Linked DNA regions of Rattus norvegicus. The protein of the gene in region 1 purifies or fractionates together with the protein of each later gene. This does not show direct contact. Links are inferred from orthologs where the notes say so. Each region holds a gene or a part of one and is shown on either strand. Other genes may lie near its edges. The genes, in order: Pabpc4 and Paip1.

Region 1 (10,417 bases):
GGAATTCAAGGTTATTCTCTGCTCCATAGTGAGTTTCTGACCAGCGTGGGCTGTAATCTCAGCACTCTGCAGACAGGGGCAGGCAGATCTCTGTGAGTTCAAGGCCAGCCTAGCCTACATCCAAGGCTACACAGTGCGGTCTTAAAAAATGATAACAATACTTAACTACAAGCTGGCATTGGCTCACGACTTTTATCTCAGCACTTGAGAGGCAGAGGCAGGCAGATCTCTGAGGCCAGCCTGATCTACAGAGTGAGTTCTAAGACAGCCAGGGCTACAAGAGAAACCCTATCTCAAAACAACCAAACCCCCCAAAAAGTTTCATTGCATTAAAAATAAGTTTTTACACAGCAAAAATTACTTTATAAGCAAAGTAAAAAAGGGTTAAACGTTTGGCTCAGCTGGTGGGCCTCTGTGCACACAGCACGCCTGTTGGCTTCAGTGCCCAGCTCCAACAGGGGGCGGAAACTTAGGTGGGAAAGGGGCTGGAGAGATGGCTCAGCAGGTAAAAGGACATGACGTTCTTCCTGAGGATGGGGTTTGATTCTCAGCATCCAGCAGATGGCTCGGCTGGAACCCCAGCACCACTGGCCTGTGGAGGCACCTGCACCTGCTTTTACAGACAGACAGACAGACACACACACACACATTAAAATAAAATTTTAATTTGAAAGATGGTGGCAGCATATTGCCTTAGGTAGGGTTTTATTACTGTGAAGAGACACCGTGACCAAGGTAACTCATATAAAGGAAAACATTTACTTGGAGCTGGCTTACAGTTTCAGGGGTTCAGTCCATTATCCATGGAAGCACGGCAGCACGCAGGCAGACACGGTGCTGGAGGAGCCAAGAGTTGTACATCTTGATCCAAAGACAGCAAAGAGGAAACTGGACTCTACACTGGGAGGAGTTTGAGCATAGGAGACTGCAAAGCCCTCCCCCACAGTGACACACTTCCTCCAAGGCCACACCTACTCCAAAAGTCCGCAGCTCCTAATAGTGCCATTCCCCATGGGCATTCAAACTCGAGTCTTTGGGGTCAAATCTGTTCAAACCACCACATACACCTAAAATACTTGAGCGGCTGAGGCAGGAGGATTCTTGGTAGTTTGAGACCCATGAATCTAACAGTAAAATAAAATCTAACAGTAAAGTAAAATCCAAAAGCAAAATAAAGCAACTGCATAAAACTCCAGCTCTGGAGGCTCGGACACCCTCTTCTGGCCTCCTCAGGAACCCATACTCACTGATGTGTATACACACAGCACAGATAATTAAAAATAAATCTTTTTATTTGAGACAGGCTTTATGTATCCCTGGCTGTCTTGGAACTTGGACCAAACTGGTTTCAGACTCGGTGTTCCACCTGCCTCTGCCTCTAGAGTTCTAGGATTAAAAGCATGCGCCACCTTGCCTAGGAAGCGCAAGGCCCTGGGTTCGGTCCCCAGCTCCGAAAAAAAGAACAAAAAAAAAAAAAAAAAAAAAAAAAAAACATGCGCCACTCTAGCCTGTGTCTTTACAGTAAAATTTGACCCAGTAATTCTAGGAATTTACCTCGAAGACTGCTGTAGGATGCTTTACAACCTTCATCTGATTTATCAGATCAGCTATAAGAACCAATCACCTTCAATCTGGAGGGGATTGGAAGATTATTCATTGCAAGGGTACCTTCATCGAGATACACACACACACACACACACACACACACACACACACACACACACACACACCCCACTTGTATGCAATTCTGCCCTAATTGCATGTGGCTTGTGGACTGAGGGTCTCAGGAAGTCCTAGAGTAAACAAGTTGGAGAAGGTCATTGGAGGGGAGGGGGACATTCCATCTCGATGGCTCGATGGCTGTGGGGAAACCATCGGTCCATTCTCCATGGTATGTTCTCCATTGCGGCTGTCTGAGGACACTTCCTGTCAATAACCCATCACATGCTCTGTAAGGAAGCCTGATAAACTCACTGGGTAACTACTAGAATCCTATCCCACTTGGTATGGGGAGCTTCTCAGGGGAGGAGTTCTGGCTAAACCATACCTCTAAGTGTGCATTGTGACAGACACTGCCTACAAGGCCATGCACAGGGCCCTGGCTGAGTCAATGATGGTCAGCCTACCCATGGACTAGGAAAAGACAAGGAAGCCAAGACCTGATGTTGATTGAATTCCAGAAGTTGCTACATAAATGAAAAAAAAGTTTGAAAAGAATATTTAAAAATATTTAAAAAAAAAAAAAAAGGAAAGAAAGAAAACAAAACCCAAGGATTTACCAGGATCAGTTATTGTGGTTTGCATGGTTAAGACACCCCAGCTAACAGCACTGTTTTGGGAGGTGGGAGAATCTTTAGCTTATGAGGATTCAGCCATACGGAGTCACTAGGGGTGGCCTTTGAGGTAATGGCTGCCCCTGGTTCTGTCAATCAGATGCGCCTGCACTGTTAACATACCTTCCCTGCAGTGAGAAACAGAGACCCCTCCCTCCCCAGTCACTCCTGTCCAGGACTTTGTTTCAGTGATGGAAAACAGGCAGGTCTACCACGAGCTGGAGGGAGAAGCAATTTCATGTAGAATTCTTGGCATGGTTTTCAACCTTTAGAACTTTCAAGTGTGTGGACAGACGTTTTGCCTCCGTCTATCTGCATACCACCTGTGTTACTGGTGCCACAGGTTAGAAAGTATTAGACACCCTAGAAGTGAAATCACAGAACATGTGACCCACCGTGTGGGTGCTGGGAATTAAACCCAGGTCCCAGGTGCAACGAGTGCTCTGAACCCCTGGGCCAGCTCTCTAGCCCGGTTTTACCAGCGGATGGAAGTTAGCCTTTAAAAAAATAAATGAAAAGGTGGGGCAGTAATAGCACATGCCTCTAATCTCAGCACCCAGGATCTGTGAGTTCAAGGCTAGCCTGATCTACAGAGTGAGTTCCAGGACAGCCAGGGCAAGCGGGTGAGATGCTCTCAATATCAATAACAAAATTAAAAGCCAAACATAATGACGTAGGCCTTGTGGTCTCAGCATTCAGACAGTCTGAGACAGGAGAATCTCAAGTTCCAGGTTACAACAGTGAGACTCTGGGAGGGAAAAGACAATCTCAAAAATGAAGCCCGATTACTTTGCCTTGACCAAGTGATGGCAGATATTTCAGAGTCCACTCCATGCACTTCCTCAAACGACACAAACTGTGCCACTTCTGTGGTGTCCGTGGTGTTCCCGTCAGAGCATGCCGTCTTAGACACAATCAGGAGGGAGTTACCTGCCTGCTTGAGCTCACAGTTTAAGCCACACACACAGCCTGTTTCCTTACAAAAACAGGATAGGGGTGGGAAAGATGGCTCAGTGGTTAAGAGCACTGACTGCTCTTCCAGAGGTCCTGAGTTCAATTCCCAGCAACCACATGGTGGCTCACAACCATCTGTAATGGGATCTGATGCCCTCTTCTGGTGTGTCTGAAGTGTACCGATATATAATAAATATATAATAAATAAATCTTTAAAAGAATAACAAAAACAGGGGCTGGGGATTTAGCTCAGTGGTAGAGCGCTTACCTAGGAAGCGCAAGGCCCTGGGTTCGGTCCCCAGCTCTGAAAAAAAGAACCAAAAAAAAAAAAAAAAAAAAAAAGAATAACAAAAACAAAACAACAAAACAAAAAAACCCAGGACAATGGAAACCTGGGAAACAGCTTCAAATGAAGGGGATCAGAGATGCAGCAAAATGGTGTGCCTATGCTGGTGAACCCTCAGCTAGGAAAGAAAACCCACTAAAGTCGGAACATACATGTCTCGGAGGATTATGCCTGTACTAAATTTTGTACTTGTTCTCAGGAAATATATTAAAATCAGGCTTCATTGCCCACACCTTTGATCCTAGAACTCAGGAAGAGGCAGAGAGTTTGAAGCCAGCCAGGGTGACTCAGTGAAAGTAACAATAAAATTTAAAAATTAAATTTAAAAATTCTCAACTAGTGCTGAGTGAGTCTTAACTCCTTTATGGACATGTATGTATGCAGGTATATACACAAGTGTATACAAAAATCAGATTTCACATATGTACAGACAGGAAACTATACGCCTAAGAGTTCAATGTCAGCACGGCAAAACGACAAGAAAATGCTGGCCAGGGAGACAAGAATATTCAACTGTTCTCTGGGGAAGCTCAGTAGTTAGAGCAGCTGCTACACAGACTGAAGAAAGATCTCAGTGCTGAGCTTACAGGAGTCAGTGACAAGCACCCAAAACTGCTGGGGGCTGTAGGCAGGCAGAAGGCCGCCAATCTCAGGTTCAGAGACTCTGCTAGACTCAACTGCCCACTGCTGGGTTTGAAGACCTTTGGGCCACGTGTGAGTGGCATGAGCCTTGGAAGTTGGGAAAAGAAACAAATGCTACCCTTGGAGGCTACAGGTCAGACAGTCCTACAAGTGCAACTTCTTCCTCAGGAAAACCTGCTTTGTAGAAGTGCAACCGAACCCTGACCACCTTTACAAAGCACCCCACCCAACACATCCCTGCTTTCCAACAGCTTGTAGCCTGTGTGTACTATTGGACTGACAGAGGTCAATCAAGGGCCAGGTGACTCTACCAACCCCCATCTTTAAGCTTTAACTCTATGTACACACCAGTGAAGGTGCCCAAGGGCAGGACTCAGATCCTCTGGAGTTAAGGTGGTTTCGATGTGTCCAGAAATATTAGAGCTGTTTTATTACACATTAAGACTAGCAACTTAGCTACAGCCTCAGGGCAGAGGACCTGAGGCAGGAGTCAGAATCTTCAACTGCCCCTTACTCCAGCCTCCAGCTCCTACAGTCTTTGGACCCATGAATATCCACATACACTTGAAAAGGCCTCCAGTTGGGGGTTGGGGATTTAGCTCAGTGGTAGAGCGCTTGCCTAGGAAGTGCAAGGTCCTGGGTTTGCGCCCCAGCTCCGGAAAAAAGAAAAAAGAAAAAAAAAAAGACTCCAGTTTGGGTTTTTGGACCAGTTACTTAAAGAGAGAACTCTTAAGGGAACCTACCCATAGCCTGGAGGCAGGCTTGGCTGTTAAGACAGAATTATCAGAGGATTTCTGAGCATTTTCCCAGAGCTGAAGCCTTGTTGCACTTGCTGACGTGAGCAGGTAACTCCAGGAGACAAACTTTACTCCAGGAAGAGAGTGGAGGCTTTGACTAGGGATCCCTAGGGTTTGCAGCAATCCCGAGGGGCCTAGACTTTGCTGGTCTGAGCATTCTACATTCAAGTATACTGTCATGGTATGCAGAGCATTCTGATGGCTCAATTCAGCTCATTTTTTCAGGCTTGGGCTGAGCTGACTTCAAACTGGGTCTCACTATCCTGTAGCTCCTACTGACTCCAGCTAGGACCATAGGTGTCAGCCATGAGCTCAGGGCCTGGCACATGCCAGGCAAGCTCCACCCCAGTGACACATTAACTTACTGCATGCTTGCTTACCCAATCCTCCTAAAAAGGAAAAAGTAAATTCATTTAATACTAACAGTAGTTCTAGCAAAAAAGCCCAAGATATAGAATAAAACTGATTGGCAACACATAAAAACAGCCAGACTTGGAGATTTTATTTCCTTTATTGAGAAACTTAAGTCTTGGGTACATCAAAACCAATTTCTGGGAGAGGGGAAAAAAAACAGAACTCATAATAGAAAAAAAAGTTACCATCATCTGGGCCACAACAGAACCCAGAGAATATATTCTTATAATTGAAAAATTCTAGGTGCTTCATAATTGACCTTTTGATACAAAATGACCTGTTGAATTTGTAACTTGGTTCTTGAAAGAGGTCCACAGACAAACTAGGAAGTCTTCAGACCTCAGCTGAATGCCGTGAGGGGTTATTTGGCTTTTGACTCCTGAAAGAGAGCAGCACCAACACAAATAAGCAGCCCGCTATAAGAACTCCATCAGCATCAGCTGCCCCATCCCGCCCTGACTTCAACTGTCCATCACCTCTCAGGTACCAGTCCTACAAGACCAATATCCCTCTGCACACTGCTCTCCCAGCTTGGCAGGACACAATCTCACCCACCTCAGGCCAAGCTAGCAAGGTATAAGATATGCATAGATGCAGGTAGGTCTTATGATGTGACTGCCACTATGTCAGGCCAGGAGATTATTCATTTCTATGTGGTGGCCAAGCATGTGATCAGGTGCTTCTAGGTTGCTCAGACTGAGCAGCTGGGTACTAGGGCTCTGCCTCCCCAACGTGGACAGCTGGGATTACAGACATAGTCATGGACGTAGCCCCCCAGCATCCTGGAGGCTGAGTGAATCATCCTGGGGCATAGGCTAAGTAAGGCCCTATGTGAAACACCAGAGAGGCAGAAAATGTCAACTGTCAACATACTTCTGGTTTAAGAGGTAGCAGCAGCAACAGTGCCCACCTTCTGGGCAGCTTCTTTCTTGGCATGATGAGCCTGCAGGACTGCCACAGCTTCATCCACCTGTGGAAGACGCCCAGATGTTCAGAGACTGAGGGGAGCCACCCCAGGTGCTCAGTGACCCACTTGTCTCTCCTGGCACACAGACGTGGTCAATGAGTAGAAGATCCCCCAGGCGGGCTCCTCCTGGTGCTATCTCTTCAACAACTTTAGCAGTAGCTCAAATCAGACATGGGTGGCCATGGGGGCCACAGACCTTTCTCTCTGGACGGCCCCCAAGCTCATTCCCTGAAGCTAAACCGTGATGTCACAGGGTCTTGAAAGGCAGCTCACCTTGGAACGGAGGGACTCGGGGGACTCCAGCATGTGGAGCAGCTCAGAGTTGTCGATTTCTAGCAGCATCCCTGTAATTTTTCCAGCCAGGTTTGAATGCATTGTTTGGATAAGTGGGAACAAACGCTCCCCTGTGGGCAGAACAGTTGCCATCATAAAAGTGTCCAATCCCAGTGAGCACCAACTGACTGACATTTTCCCAAGCATGGAACTTACCCAGCATCTGCTTCTGCTCCTGGGGAGGAGCTGCAGCCAGCATGGAGGCAGTCAGGGGTTCTTGACCCTGGACATGGACTGCAGGCTGGGGGGCCTGTGAACCAGGAGAGGCAGTGGGGTTAGCACTAAGGAAGACTATGTGAAAGGGAGCGGAGGTGGCAGTCCTGTGCTCAAAGACAAAGCTGGCTAGCTGTGTACTGTAAGCTATTGGAAGGGGAAGATGCTGACCAACAAACCTGCCTCACAACACAAGGCCCTGCAGTCAAAACCAGGCCCCGGGAGACATAATTTGTGATTTTCATGTAGTCTTGGCTGGCCTTGATCCCCTTGCTGCCAAGGGCCAAGGGCTGGGATTACACGTGCGTACTTCACAGTATTTATGCACTTCTCTTCAATGCCTCCCTTACGTTATTGTCAGTACATACAGAGGCAGGAGCCAAAGAGTGAGAATCAAAACATTCCTAACCATACTTCATTATCCCCCGGTACAGGATGTTTGGGTTTTCTGTGTACCCTCTCCGAACCCAGGCTGGCCTCAGTAGGTGCTGACCTTTAACTCCTAATCCTTTTGTCTCTACTGACCCAGCACCTGGATTCTGGGATATGCTAATAATACCCTGGTAAATTCAACCTTTTCTTTTACAGGACTGGGGCTTGGTCTAGGTGTTTTTAATATATTAGCAATTATTTGAGGATCATTAATATATGCAACAGTGTTGCTAGAACCATAAAAAGGTGTTACAGGTGAATTAGCACCAAGTTCCAAGAAACCCCCACTGGAGAGAATGATGAGAAGGGAGACTATTATTAAGAATAATTCAAAGCAGCTTCTACTCCTGAAGTTGTCTGGGCAGGTGAGGCCCAGTCATAGCAAACTGCCACCAAGTTCTGAAAGTGGCTATGCTTTAGGTCACAGCTTAGGCACCTTAACCTCTGAATATTCTGGGAAGCTTTCTGTTGGGTGTTCTGTATATGTGTTTGACGATGTAGGGGAGGTCAACCCTGGGGCCTGGTTCCTCAGGCATCACCACCACTTTCTTAAGGAAGTCATCTCCCTCCCTGGTCTGGAATCTGCCCAGTAGGCCAGGCCAGGTTGGCCTCAGGGATTCCTGTTTAGATTTCTCACCTTGTCCAGCCTTTTCTGTGTTATGTGTGTATATGTGGCATGTGCACAGACGTAGGCCAGAGAACTGTCAGGTGTCTTCTCTAAGACTCGGTCTCTCGTGGAACCTAGAGCTCACTCTGGCTCTCCTGGCCAGCCTGCAGATCCAAGAACCATCATCTCTCTCTGGCCCCACAATGCCAACTCTTACATGTGTGCTTGGGACCTGAACTACTCAGGTCTCCATGCTTACACAGCACACTGTCCACTTCCCCACCCCTTTTCATATGGGTTCAGGGGATCCAAGTCTGAGCTTGCGCCTTTAACGGGCTGCCCACTGAGCTGTCAGTCCCTAGCCTGAAGAAAAGCTAGAGGTTACCAACTGCCTGTAAAACAGCCAAGGATCAATTAGGTCACCAGATGTGAAGGTAACCCAGAGGCAAGAGCTGAGCGTGCACAGGTGTCGTAAGAACCTGTTAACACTTAAGAGGAATCAAAAAACATGGCATCTTTAAAATGGAGCAGAAATAGGACAAATCCCTTCACAGTTCACAGCTCTGTTGTGCCTCACCTGCAGCGGCTGAATGGCAGGGTGAGGGCTGCGGACATTGGAGGCATACTTGTATGGAGCCACAGCCCTGGGAGCAGCAGCAGCGACTGTAGCACGAGGTGCAAGGTTTGGCACAGCCGTAGGGACGCCTTGTGGAGAGAACAAGTGTAATTAAAGCGCATCAGCCTGGGCAAAGGCCCGTCAAAATCCCAGCTTTCCCCCTTCTGTGTGCACCCAATACCACCTCCAGACTGGCAGCTGTCAGTCAGCCCTTGCTGGGCGGCACCAGCCCCACCAAAGTCCATAGCCAAGCGGTCCGGGCACTCAGACCCTACAACAGACCAGCAAATGCACATCAGTGTTGACAGCAGATGCCCAACTGGCCACGTCCCATGGAAGAACTCCAGCACATGACCACACATGTCCCTCACAGGGCCAAAGGACACCACAGACGTCTTTGCACATTTAGAATGAGAGTCTCCTCGTCCCTCCACCCTCAACAGCGTGGTGCCTGTATATCCATCCAGACAGAGTACTTCTGGGTGACCGTTCACATGACACCCGCTGAGCAGACAGTGTTCAGAGTGACCAACACACCAGGACCCACAGTCACTGCTCGTGAAGGCAGAAGCAACTACCTAAGCACACAGCTAAGGATGCAGGAAAAACGAGACCCAGACTGACCAAGCCAGGGCAGATCAGAGCCAGTCATCTGGATCCCCCCTCCCCGGCCATGCGCCTACAGGCCAGTTTGCTCACCGACTCTCTGAGCGGTAGTAGGAAGGCCACGAGAGGCCGGAGCATTACCAGTTGGAGCCAGATGCCGAAGAGCTGGACGAGGCCCAGATTGCCGCAGGGCACTTGGCATTCCTTGGAAGCCTGAAGAGACAAGGGCACTCAGCACGGACCAGCCAGGATGGACCAGGTGCTGGGTTGCAGGAGAAGCCGGTGAACTACTGGACAGGCATAGCCCGAGGAACAAGGCTCTGCTTCCTGCTACCTACCTTGAGGTCTCCCGCCTTGCTGCCAGCGTGGATTAGGCCTCATTTGCGCTAATTGATTAGGTGTGTAATATGGAGGTCTTCCCTGGGCCTGTAGGGGAAAAGAATCCAAGTCTTAAGAACCTGCACCCACTGCCCTCACCCGGACACTGGGTCAATATTTGGGTGATTAACTTAGTATTCTACTCAAAAGTGGAAGGACTGTCAATGGACAGTTATTCCACCTCATTGGCGATGTAACCACAGGTTAATTCATCTCTCTTACTTCAACACTAGTCCCCAAACACCCCTCCCTCAGCTGCCGAGATTGCCTAGCAGATCTACCTGTGGCACTGCCGGCACAAAGTAGCCACCAGCTGCAGGCTGGAACTGATTTAAGATGGCGTTGGCAGGGAGCGCTCTCATTCCTGCCACACGCTGCATATACTGGTTAGTCAGGTGAGCCTTCCGCTCCTCCTTCCTCTGGGCCAGGGCGACGTACAGAGGCTTGGAGCCCACAATGCGTCCGTTCATCTCCGTGACCGCTTTGGTTGCCTCTTCAGGAGAGGAGAAACAGACAAAGCCAAACCCTTTGCTTCTCCCGTCTTCCAGCATCACCTACGGAAAGAGACTGGATGTCACTGGGAGGCAGGACAGGAAAACAGAGTCTAATCAGTCTTACCAGCCCCTCTGAGCCCTGGTTCCCACACTCTAAGACAACTAACTCTGAATACATCACAGTCTCTGCAGAGCCAGCCTCTAACGTCTTTCTCTTTACTGAAGGGGTTACTGCTTTCCTGTGCCTTGTGTGTTGGCCTCTTTAATCCTCCAAGGTCAGTGTGT
Region 2 (11,696 bases), on another chromosome or scaffold:
TTTTACACTTGTTTCTAAGAGTCCCCAAAGTCTCATCAGTTCCAACATTGTCCAAAAATCCAAATTTAAAGTCTCTGAGGCTCAAGACGAATCTTTAGCCGAATCTCCTTACAAAATAAAGATCACTTTAATCCAGTATAAAATGGTACGGAGTAAATATCCCCATTGGATAAATAATAGAGCTGGAGAATAGAAAACAGGGCCAAGTAAAAGCCAAGTCCTGGAGGGTAAATACTGAGTCTCATAGGTCCATGTCTGGCATGACGTAAGCTCTCAGGGTCTTCTTGACCCTATAGTCCACATGGCATTTGTTTGTGTAAGGAAGATAATGTGTGTAAAGTAAGTTTTGTGTGTGTGTGTGTGTGTGTGTGTGTGAGAGAGAGAGAGAGAGAGAGAGAGAGAGAGAGAGAGAGGCAGACAGACAGACAGACAGACAGACAGAGGCAAAGAGACAGAGACAGAGATGTGCATGTGTGTAGGGTTGTTGGCCCACCTCTGCTCCAACATTGGGCAGGGCAGCTAGGGGAGGCAGAAGGCGGGCAGTTTGACTGCACTTATCCCACTCGGGAGGGCAAAGGCAATGAGTATCCCATCATTTCCTTTAAGGTAGGATCTCTCTGTGAACCTAGAGCTCATGATTTCTTTGTTCAGGCCAGCAACTAGCAAGCCCCAGAACCCTTCTGTCTCCATGTCCCTCAGTGCTGCAGTCCAATCTTCCCATTCTCGTGCACGAGTAGGAAGCACCTTTAACCAGTTAGCCATCAGTTCCATCTTGCATTATTTTTCTTGTGGGGGTGGGGAGATAGATCTGGCTATGCTTCTTTCCTGCTGGTTTTCTCAGCAGACATTCTATATTCTTGGCATCTCCTGCTTCCTGGGGTCTCCATCACATTGGCTTCAAAATAGCTCTCTCAAGTTCTACTTACAGGAATACTGATTGATCCTGCCACACATAGCCTGATTTCCCCTTTGAAATAGGAGTGTAAACTATTGGGAAGATTGGTTTTTGTTTTTGCATTTTGCCTTTTTTGGGGAGGATTGGTTTTTGTTCTTGGATTTTGCCCTTTTTTGGTAAGTGGGTAATGAAACGTCGTTAGTTTTAATTTGCAGTAACTAGTGGTTAATTGAGAAGTTTTCATGAACGTAAGTGCTCTCTGTATAGTCTCTTCTATTAATGTGATATTTCCATTCTCTAACTGGATTTTTTTTTTTAGTTGGCTTATGACAATTCTTCCTATTTTCTGCTTACATGTCTTTTGTCGGATATGGGCCATGCAAATATTTCCTCCTTCGTAGTTATGAAAATGTTCTCATTAGCTGGCCTTGACAGGTTCTCTGAGGCAGTGGGAGCCAGCACTGGAAACAGTCTTCATTACTGTCACTGTAACGGTGACTTTTGGTGTGGGGAGTCTACTGTAAATTAATAGTTACAGTTTGAAGACTGTGTGGACCAAGAACTGGGTTAGAACCTACAACAGTGCTTCTCAACTTCCCTAATGCTTCCACCCTTTAGCATAGTTCCTCATGCCACCCAGATGTGGTGGTACACACCTTTAATTCTAGAACTCAGGGGGCAGAGGCAGACAGATCTCTGAGTTCGAAGCCAGCTTGGTCTACAGAGTAAGTTCCAGGACAGCCTGGACTATACAGAGAAACCTTATCTTGAAAAACCAAACCAATCAAAAACAAACAAACAAAAAACCAAAAAAAACCCTCCCTCATATTGTGCTGACCCCCTAACCATAAAATTATTTTGTTGCTACTTCATAACTGTAATTTTGCTATTGTTATGAATTATAATGCAAATGCAATGTAAATATATGATATGCAGGATATCTTATATGCAATCTCTGTGCATTTGACCTCAAAGAGGTTTGAACCAAAGGTTGAGAACCGCTGACCTAGAAGTACCAATAAGGCACCACCTGCCTTCAAAGGGTAATTTCAGTAGAGAAATAGTTTAAAATTTTTTTCTAGTAATCTGACATGCAAGGTACCATGACGGTATCCTCTCAGAGCACAACCATGTCAAGGGAAAATCTAGGCAGCTTAAGGAAGTATTCCTGAAGAGCACCATCTAAGATAACTTAGAGGAAACTCTTTGTCCTAGTTAGTGGCATGTCCTCTTTCTGATAGTGTACACCACACTTCCCATCTTCTCTGAATGGAATCCGGCAAACCCTTTTTGCCACCAATCAATAAGCAATGCACAAATGGAGAAGAAGAGCTTTTCTAGTGATCTTCAGTGAGCCCTTCATGGCTCTTATATGTCCTAAAGTGGCCTTTTACTGTAGTACCCAGAAGTCCAGCATTACAACAGTCCCTAGAAGGATCTGAGTTTCTCTAATAATCCTGGCATATGCCCCACAGGATATGAGAACTTATATAAATAAAACTGAGGCAGATACAGATTAATAATAATTATCATTCACTGCTGGTTTGCAATAAATCCTGGTTTGCAAATCACAAATTAAATCCATTCATGTTGTCCCTACTCCATCTCTCATATGTCCAAGCATAGAGCTAAAATTACACAACAGGGAACGGGAGGTGGCCTAGGGTGTTTGAGTTAACTCCTCTGGTTCAAGGAGCTTATAAATATTCCCTGGTATCAGCATGGATATTTACCCAGTAAAGTCTCCATGTTAGAAAAGGTGATTATCCACTGTGAAACCTTTAACCGGAGATCCGGTAGATCAATTGCAGGGACAAGCTTAGCATCCACAAGGCCCTGTGTTCAATTTTAGTACCTTCCCCACAAGCCCCCCACCAAAACCAAAACAAAACAAAAAAGTGTTAGAAGAAAACAAAAGGGCAGTCACCAAAAGCCTGCCACAGATGCGGTACAACTGCATCAGTAAGAACACTGAGGATATGCTATCTCACTTCCAGATTTTTAACAGTTTTGGGTCCTTTCTGCGTAGGAAAGAAGGTCAAGCAAGATGTAACCGCTGAGCCAGGCGCTGATGCTCGAAATCACCACACCTGGGAGGAGGAGGCAGGTGGAGCCTGTTCAAAGTTGGCCTCAGCTCCATTGAAGCCGACCTGAACTACAGGCTTCAGTCTCAAGAAATGATCTGGCTTCTAGTGGAGGTGGAGGTGGATGAAGGTGAGAATATGGGGGTTTGGTGGGAGGTGGGAAGGACTCCTTTACCTTTAAGGGGCTGGCCACCAGGGCTTTGGCCATGCTTCAGTGAGTATCTGAGCCACACCAATTGAACTTTTTTTTTCTTTGTCTTATCTTTGGTGAGGGTACAAGAGTGGAGGATGGGCATGAGAAGAATGGAAATCAAGTTGGATCGGGGTGCACTGCATGAAATTCCCAAATAATTAATAATTACCTTGAGAAATTTTTTTAAATGTCAAACAAAAATAAATGACTGCTGCCCATAGTCAGAGACATTTTAGAATGCCAACAGCATCGTCTCTATCCACTTTTAAACGGAAATCTTGTACAATATTAATCAAGAGCACAAATCATCTACTGATGCTTGCCTCAATAAAACCCATATTTTCTTGTTGATTTACTTGAAGGAGTGTTTCACATGGTTAATAAAAATGGTTAATATGGACATTTTGGTTCTATTTGAAATGATACTGTAGATAAAACTTGGAAAACCATTAAGCCCTCCTTAAATCACAGAGTTAAACTCAGAATTCTGGAGATGGCTCAATGCAACAGTAAGGGCATCTATTTTTTCCTTTTTCATTATTTACATTCACCTTCCACTTGGCATTAGCACCATCAGCCCTGACAAAAACAATTTACAGATAATTACTGGAATTGTGTTGTGCAATACTGCAGCCAGTAACTACACGTAGCTCTGGAACATTCTAAATGTGCCTGATTCCCAATGAGAAATGCTTTGAGTGTAAAATACACATTAGCCTTCAACTAATTTTCAAAGAGAGAGGCTATGCTATTCACATTTAACATTAATTACAGGTTACAACGATACCATCTGAGCATATAGGAGTAAGGATATTAAAATTAATTTCACCTGCCTTTTCTTTAAGGCGGCTTCTGCACATTGACAATTAAGTGGTTTGCAATTTTTGCTCATGAACTTTATTGGACAGCGAGTGTGGAAGATGCAAGAGGGAAGAAGCAGACGTGCAATGGAAGGTAGTGTAATTTTTCTAAGAAGTTCCTGGAGGGAAGACACAAGGGCAGCGGAAGAGGCTTGGTGGACGTGACCTAGTGTGTGTGATAACACCTAGTGGGAACTGGAAGGCGGGCGCGGTTGCGTTCTGTTTGCACTCCCTTTCTCCGCAGACAACCGGGCAGAGGGAGGGCTGCGTCCCGGGCCCCCTTCGCCGCCAGGCCTCGGGGTTCGGCCGGAGCGCTATCGCTGAACACACCTGCGCGCCCACTGAGGTGCGCGTCGGCGAACCCTGGCGCTGCGCCCACGCCCCCTCCCCCCGGATTATTTTCCTGGCACCAACCGTCAGTCTCGCACTTTTCACCAGAGGAACCAGCGGGGAGGTCGGAGTCGCCCGGTAAGCGTCCCCCGAACTATCCCTCAGCCCGACCCCGGGAGCCTAGACCGCCGAACGCGTCCGTCAGCGGAGCCGCCTCCTGGCCCGGACGTCGCTCGTCCAAGCGGCCGGGTGAAGCCGCGGCTGCCCGCCCGCCAGCCAGCCTGCCTGCCCGCCCGCCCGCCCGCCGGCCCGCCAGCCCGCCAGCCAGCCAGCCAGCCAGCCAGCCATCCGCGAACGCGAGCGACCGTCGCCAGCCGGCGGGAGGGCAGCCGCGCCCCGGGCCTCCGGGCCGCGGGGGGCCGCTGTGACCCGTCTCGGCCCCACTGCGCCGCGGGCGGGCAAGTGGGCGGGAGGGGGAAGTGGGGCTTAAGGGAGAGCGTCCGCCAGCCGAAGGGAGCTGGGGAGGCGGGCGCTGTGCTGCGGCGCGTCGGCGGGGGCCCGGAGCGCGGAGGACCGAGCAGGGCCCGCCGGCCTCCTCCATGAGGCCTGAGTGAGGCACAGCGGTGACAGGCGGCCCGCGGCGCCTCCCGCGCGTCCTATTCGGAGCAGCGGCGGCGGCCCCGTTGGAGAGCAAGGAGCATGTCGGACAGTTTCGATCGGGCTCCAGGTGCTGGTCGGGGCCGGAGCCGGGGCCTGGGCCGCGGAGGGGGCGGGCCTGAGGGCGGCGGGTTCCCGAACGGAGCGGGGCCTGCGGAGCGGTCGCAGCACCAGCCACCGCCGCAGCCCAAAGCCCCGGGCTTCCTGCAGCCGCCGCCGCTGCGCCAGCCCAGGACCGCCCCGCCGCCAGGGGCCCAGAGTGAGGCCCCCGCCGGCTCCGCGCGGCCTCCCCGGCCTGGGGCGCTCCCAGGTACGGAGCAGCTCGAGGGGCCCCGGTGCTCCTGGGCCAGCTTTCCCCCGCGGGCCTTCGCGCACGCCGAGCTCCGGCGCGCCGAATCCGCCCCCCGGTTCTCCGAAAGCATTCCCCGAGGGGCCCGCTCGGCACGGGGTAGGGACTAGCCAGGAACTGGGTTTGGAAGGAGGTGGTGGCTGGAATCCTTTGTGCGCTCCGGCTGGGGGAGGGGCCCGGGCCGGGTGCTTAGTCTGGCGTCCCGGGAGGAAGTCAGAATCGCCTACCTCTCTCTAGTGAACCCGGGGCCCCAGGCGAGCATCACACTTCTTAACCAACTCCTTACTAGAGAGGGAAGGGGTGGGAAAAGCCCTCGAACTTTCGATTTGCAGGCAGGTATGTGCACTCACGAACCAAAGCAAGGCTATTGTTCCATTTTGCAAGCTCTTTTGTACGACTCTTAACGATCTTACGTTTTGTATTTAACTCCTAAAATCCGGAAGTTCTCAGACGGTTTCTAAATCTGTAGTAAGTTGCTATATACAAAGGAATGAATACATCTAGCACTGCTTTTTCTTTTCCTTTTTCTTTCTCAGAACAAACGAGGCCCCAGAGAGCTCCACCTAGTTCACAGGATAAAATCCCACAGCAGAACTCGGAGTCAGCAATGGCTAAGCCCCAGGTGGTTGTAGCTCCTGTGCTAATGTCTAAGCTGTCTGCGAACGCCCCCGAATTTTACCCATCAGGTTATTCTTCTAATTATACAGTGAGTACATTTTTTTTAAACCTCCTACAACTCTTGTGTAAAACTATTGGAATAAAGTGGTTATTCTCGCTAGAGTATGCTGGCTGCTTTCTGTACTACACACAGAAATATCTTACTCAGCGAAGTCATGATTTAGGAATATAATTTGCAGTTATGTATGAGATATTGGCGTGTAAGCTTGTGAATGGGAATTCTTGCTGGCTCGTTTCACTGTTGTGTTCCTAGTACTTAAAAAGAATATATAAAATAACCTGGTATGAAAAGCCCACTGTCAAACATTTTCAATTTGTAAAACTAAAATCCACTTCTGAACCTTCTAGATAACCTGTACAGTGAGCAGTCAGGAAAGCTTCCTTTAAATTGATTTTAGTCACGTTGCAGAAAATTCTTTGGTGTGGCCTTTGAAGTAAATTAAATAGCGTTTTGCTGTAGATATTCTTATGAATATTGAGAAACACATCTCGGCTCTTTATTTCTAGAGCAAGTTTTGTCCATTATGTTAAAACAATTTTTTGTTGCAGGTTACATGTTATATACAGAAATATTGTAAATCTTTGATTGATTGGGTTTTGTTGTCTTTATTTTGTTGTTGTTGTTGTTTTTGATTGAGGCAGGCAAGGCAGTTGTCCTGCTCAGCCTTCCAAATCTGGGATTACAGGTATAACTTCACCATGCTTAATATGTAAGCGATTTTGGCAAAGCATCTACATAAGTATACTATACATAGGTATAAAGAACTTTCTGCACTTTTTTAATCTTTGTCAATAATGCAGCAAATCTTAATTGGTCCTTGTTTTCATATTAGTAGGACGCATAATGTATGGTTAAAATGTATAGGAAGAAACTCATTGTGCTTACTAAATTCAAAATAGTCAATGCAGAGAGATTAGCATTAGAGAAGGGAGGCATGACAGTGGTGAATTAAAGATGATTGGTAATACCTCAGCTAGAAGTCTCTCAGTCTCTTCAGTTTACTGGATAATAGAATGAACAAGGCTCAGCTCACAGTTAACCACTCAAGACAACTCTGACAAGCAAACAGAAAAGTATCAACATACAATAAGCCCCATTCATCCCTAAAATTATCACTCATGCCCAAAGGTAACCACTGAGCTTTGTTTTGTTTTCTTTAGATAGTTTTGATTTGTATTACTAATTATCCTTGAGCTTGATAACCTCTCACCTCACCTCTCCTCTGCTGCCCTGTTCCCAGTGTTTGGGTGTGAGTACTGACTCACCATTTTGACATACAAAGTATTTTTTCAAAGCTTACATAAATGAAGTTTTTTAGATTGTTCTAGCTCTACATCTAAATTTATATTGTAACATAATTTGAGATAATTTATTCACATCACTTGACTGTATCAGGGTTCCATTTGTTCCTTTATCAATGGATAATTTCTACTTTGGGGCTATTGTGCTGAATCTTGTCTATGTCCTGACTGATATATGCCTTTATTTCTGCTTGGTTTGTAAAAGAAGAATTATAGTAGCCAACCTTAATAGAATCAGCCATCGTCTCTAAGACCTTCCCAGTCTACATTCCTCACAGTGTCTGATTTGCTACTTGCTGCTCTTTCTAGTCAGAACTTGGTATTTTCTGTTTAGCCATCCCAGTAGTTATGGTTTCTTAAAATTAATGACTGCATACCTTCTGTAATCTGTATTTGGTTCTCCTCATGTTTGATCAGTGTGGAAACTCTGAATTTTGTAGAAATAGAAGTTCCATTCATCTTTTAGCTTTGGGATTAGACAGGAGACAGTATGAATATGGCCGGAAGAGCAGTCGATTTGGTGAAGAAAGCCATTGTCATGAAAAGTAAATAGGAGTAGCTTGGCGTGTTGTCAAAGTTGTATTTGGCTCAGAAATGGAAGGAACCATTAAAGAGCTTGAGTAGTTGAATAAACTCCTTGAGAATGTTTACTTTTTAGCAGCCAAAACCAGTTACCCGTTCATTTTCCTTCCTGTTGCCGTGAACTATTTTATTTTATCATGGGAGGAATACAGGTTTGTTGTTGTTGTTTTTCATTTCAAAGTCCTGAATAAAATTCAAATGACCCTTCAATTATAAGTATATTTGTTTGTGGTTATGTACAAGTGAGTGCATTTGTCTGAGCAGACCAGAGAAAGAATCGGATCTCTTTGGAGATGGATTTACAAGATGGTTGTGAGTAGCCAGTGGATGCTAGGAAAGGAACTGGGTCTTTACACATGCCCTTTTTTTTTTCCTTCCTTAATGACGTATGTGTATGTGTATTAGTGTTTGACCTGCATGTATGTTTGTGTGAAGGTGCTGGGTCCTCTGGAACTGGAATTATGTATGACAACTGTGAACCGCCATGTGGATGTTTGAAATTGAACTCCAGTCTCAGGAAGAGCAGCCAGTACTCTTAACCACTGAGCAATCCCTCCAATCCCGTGTTATATCCTCTTAACCACCAAGCCATCTTCTCTACCCCTCCACCACTTCCTTTGAATCAGTGTTGTATTTTAGGAATTCTTTCGTTTATTTATTAGTGTAACAATTTCTCTATTCAGTGTACCAAAACAAATTAAGGACTAGAAGCTTCTTTGGCCCTGTCTGACCTTTTGTTTTAAAGATTGTTTTAATTAGTTGACAAAATTTAAATTGGATATTGAAAAGTCTATATTTCCTAATTTCTGTTCAGTCCATAATGGACTGGAATTCTGAAAGCAAAATTGGTTGAAGCATAAGAGCATTAATTAACAGTTTCTTCCCTGAATGACTCTTGTGTTGTAATTCTTATGAATTTCATGGGTAAGTGCTTGGGCTTTTGCTGCTATGCCCCAGTACATTTTCTCAACTTTACTAGTTCACATGAGTGTTTACTCATAGTCCAGGTTAAATGTTTTTTAGTCCATTTAGTGCAGAACAAGAGAATCCTCATTAGCCCCAACTTTTCATATAAGTTCCTATAAGGAAATCTTTTCTGTATAATAGCCATGTCCCAAAGTAAGCTAGATTCACACATTCCACACATAGTTCAATACTTATGCTGGGTCAGCAATAGTCATATAGTACAAAGCAGAGAAAACTGTCTTGTTGTTGTTGAGTGTACTTTTTTTTTTGATTTGTGAATGAGTAAAGACACTGTTGCTGTCTTCAGACACAGCAGAAGAGGGCATCCAATCCCATTACAGAGGGTTGTGAGCCACCATGTGGTTGCTGGGAATTGAACTCAGGACCTCTGTAAGAGCAATCAGTGCTCTTAACCACTGAGCCATCTCAGCGTAAAAAAACTGTCTTTATGGAAGTTCTTTTCTAGAAATCTTCCTGTTTCCAGAAATCCCTTGAGTCTGTTCTTTATACATAATTGGTTCAGTGAGATGGCCCTGCAGGTAAAGTGATTTGCTGCCAAGCTGATGACCTAAGTTCAGTTCCTGGGACCCACATGATGAAGAGAACCAACTCTCACAAGTTGTCCTCTGCCTTCCGTGCATAGACAGACCCACAAATGTGCACACATGCATGCACACAGAAAACCTTTATGGTGGTTTCTGCTGTGCCTTTTAGGTTCCTTCACAACTATGTGTGCTCTTAATCTTCATTCCTTCTCACTCTGCTGCTAGAATTTCCTCCTTTTCATATTGTCTTAGCAAGTTACTGTATCCATCTCTTCATGGTTGCTTCTTAGACAAATTAATATGACCATGAATATTTAATCATAGGTTACTTACTGGTAAAAGGTTCCATATAGGATCTCATCAAGCCCTTGTTAAGAGATGAAAATGTTAGTGTCTTACTATACCATCAGCAACAAAAAAAAGCTTTTTTCCTAAAAGTATCTTCCTTCAAGTTACTGCTGCCTTTTTTTCTCTTAAAAATTGTCATCGGTACTCTGTGATGCTCAGTGAATGCATGTCTCTGCAGTTGATCCCTCTAGGTATGTCGATGCTATTTTTATGACTGTAAATGATACTCCTCTGTTTTTTAAATATGTAGTCATCTTAACCTGCCTTTATTTTAGGCCCCAACACAATATAATCTGTTTAGTTTAAAAGACTATGCTGTGTCCTATGGTATATGTCAGTTACCTTTTGTGATCTTTAATAAAATCTCTTATAATTATACTAGAACTACATATTTAATATTACTAGTTTTGTTCTGTCTTTGTGTATAATCATCTTTATTTCTAAGACTGCAGCTAACATTCTCTTTCAGATTTTAACCTATGAACCTGACACCGATCATCACTTTTCCTTACTCAGCTGCCCTTTGATTTCTGAGTTGATATTTCTCTATCCTCCTCCTCCTCAGACCACAGCCTCTAATGTTTTTCCATTTTATTACCTCCTTTGTGAATCCTGCCTCCTCCCAAATTCTGATACTTACTTTCTCGTGTATGAATAACCGTCAAATCTCATTCTTTAGAACTCCAGACTTTGTAGCTTGATCTTTTTCTTAACTTCATAAGGATCTCATATTTAAATTAAAGTGTAAAATAATTATCTTACATAGTTTTTTTCCTAATAGGGTTTGGGCAGGAACTTGGTTGTGTTGACTCAGCCCCCATCCTTTTCGGGGTTCATCCAGCTGATGACCTAAGTAGTCTGAGTTACTCCAGAGTCTCCGTCTCTGCTCAGGTCCCTCTCCCAGTGCCTGGGATTAGGACCTCTTGACATTGCAGTACGTAGTGACTACCTTCATTAAAGGTACATTTGTAAACTAGTGGTCCCTTATAATCTCCTGCGTAGAACTCTAAGAAAAAAGCTTGAAAAAATACTCTTCAACTGATAAGTTGGTTGTCTCCATGATGAAGACAGAAGAAGTCCTTGAAAGGTGAGGGGCTAGAGAAGCAGTGCAGGCCTCGACTCAAGCCCAGGTGGGATGCCTCTGTTCAGAACTCTCTGTACAACGGCAGACCTAGGTCTCTCCTCTATTCTGTATTCAGAACAGCTTTGTTTTACTTACCAGACTTGAATTCTATTTTAGAGAGTTCTGTTGACTTTATATAAAGCTGAAATTGGACACTGTAAACTGTGCTTTTGTTGCAGTGAATGACATTTGATAGAAAATATCAGCTGCTGTCTTTAGACTCCTTGTCATTATATTAAGATTCTTTTAACTCTCCAAAACTGACCATGTCCACCAAAACCTTATTAATTCTGAAATACTGAGATAGGTAATATACATGTTAATATGTTTTATGCTTAACTGCTTCACAACTTTTCAATAAAGAGGAAGTATTAATAATATGAACAATGTTTTCATTCCAGATGTGTTGTTAAATTGTTTAGCTTTGCTGAAATGTTGATGGGTCTGTACAAATAAGTCCCTTTCTTAAAAAAAAAAAATTATATATGCTCTTTTCATTTAACAGATTATCTTGTGACTGTTTCTGGAAGGATGGAAATGTATATCCTGCCATATATATAATATAAGTTATATGTTAGATATATAAATTCTGCCTTGTTTTCTTAAGTGGCTATATGAAAGCACACCATATAAATGTAATTTAACCAATATCTTGCTTATAGATTTTGTTTGTTACCAAGAAACATATCTTAACACTTATAAAGTGTCAAATTTGTGTTCTAATATGTAGTTATTTTGAGAATAGTGTAGGATATAAAAGTACAATTTTTAGTTAGCTTTGTTA

Evidence for each region.
Region 2: the proteins of Pabpc4 (region 1) and Paip1 purify together in Homo sapiens (co-immunoprecipitation; 3 studies listed by BioGRID and IntAct, with this or other methods). This does not show direct contact. The link is inferred for Rattus norvegicus from reciprocal best matches to the Homo sapiens genes PABPC4 and PAIP1.

Annotation. Positions count from the first base shown.
Region 1 is NC_086023.1:140,859,237-140,869,653, reverse strand, and holds the end of Pabpc4 (polyadenylate-binding protein 4), read right to left. Parts: intron 10,193-10,417; coding exon 9,920-10,192; intron 9,687-9,919; coding exon 9,599-9,686; intron 9,474-9,598; coding exon 9,402-9,473; coding exon of another isoform or gene 9,354-9,401; intron 8,926-9,353; coding exon 8,839-8,925; intron 8,744-8,838; coding exon 8,616-8,743; intron 7,037-8,615; coding exon 6,943-7,036; intron 6,858-6,942; coding exon 6,727-6,857; intron 6,457-6,726; coding exon 6,367-6,456; 3' UTR 6,360-6,366; intron 5,866-6,359; coding exon of another isoform or gene 5,848-5,865; 3' UTR 5,565-5,847; downstream 1-5,564.
Region 2 is NC_086020.1:53,251,633-53,263,328, forward strand, and holds the start of Paip1 (polyadenylate-binding protein-interacting protein 1), read left to right. Parts: upstream 1-4,854; 5' UTR 4,855-5,061; coding exon 5,062-5,089; coding exon of another isoform or gene 5,090-5,329; exon of another isoform or gene 5,330-5,467; intron 5,468-5,904; coding exon 5,905-6,074; intron 6,075-11,696. UniProt on the Homo sapiens protein: Acts as a coactivator in the regulation of translation initiation of poly(A)-containing mRNAs. Its stimulatory activity on translation is mediated via its action on PABPC1. Competes with PAIP2 for binding to PABPC1.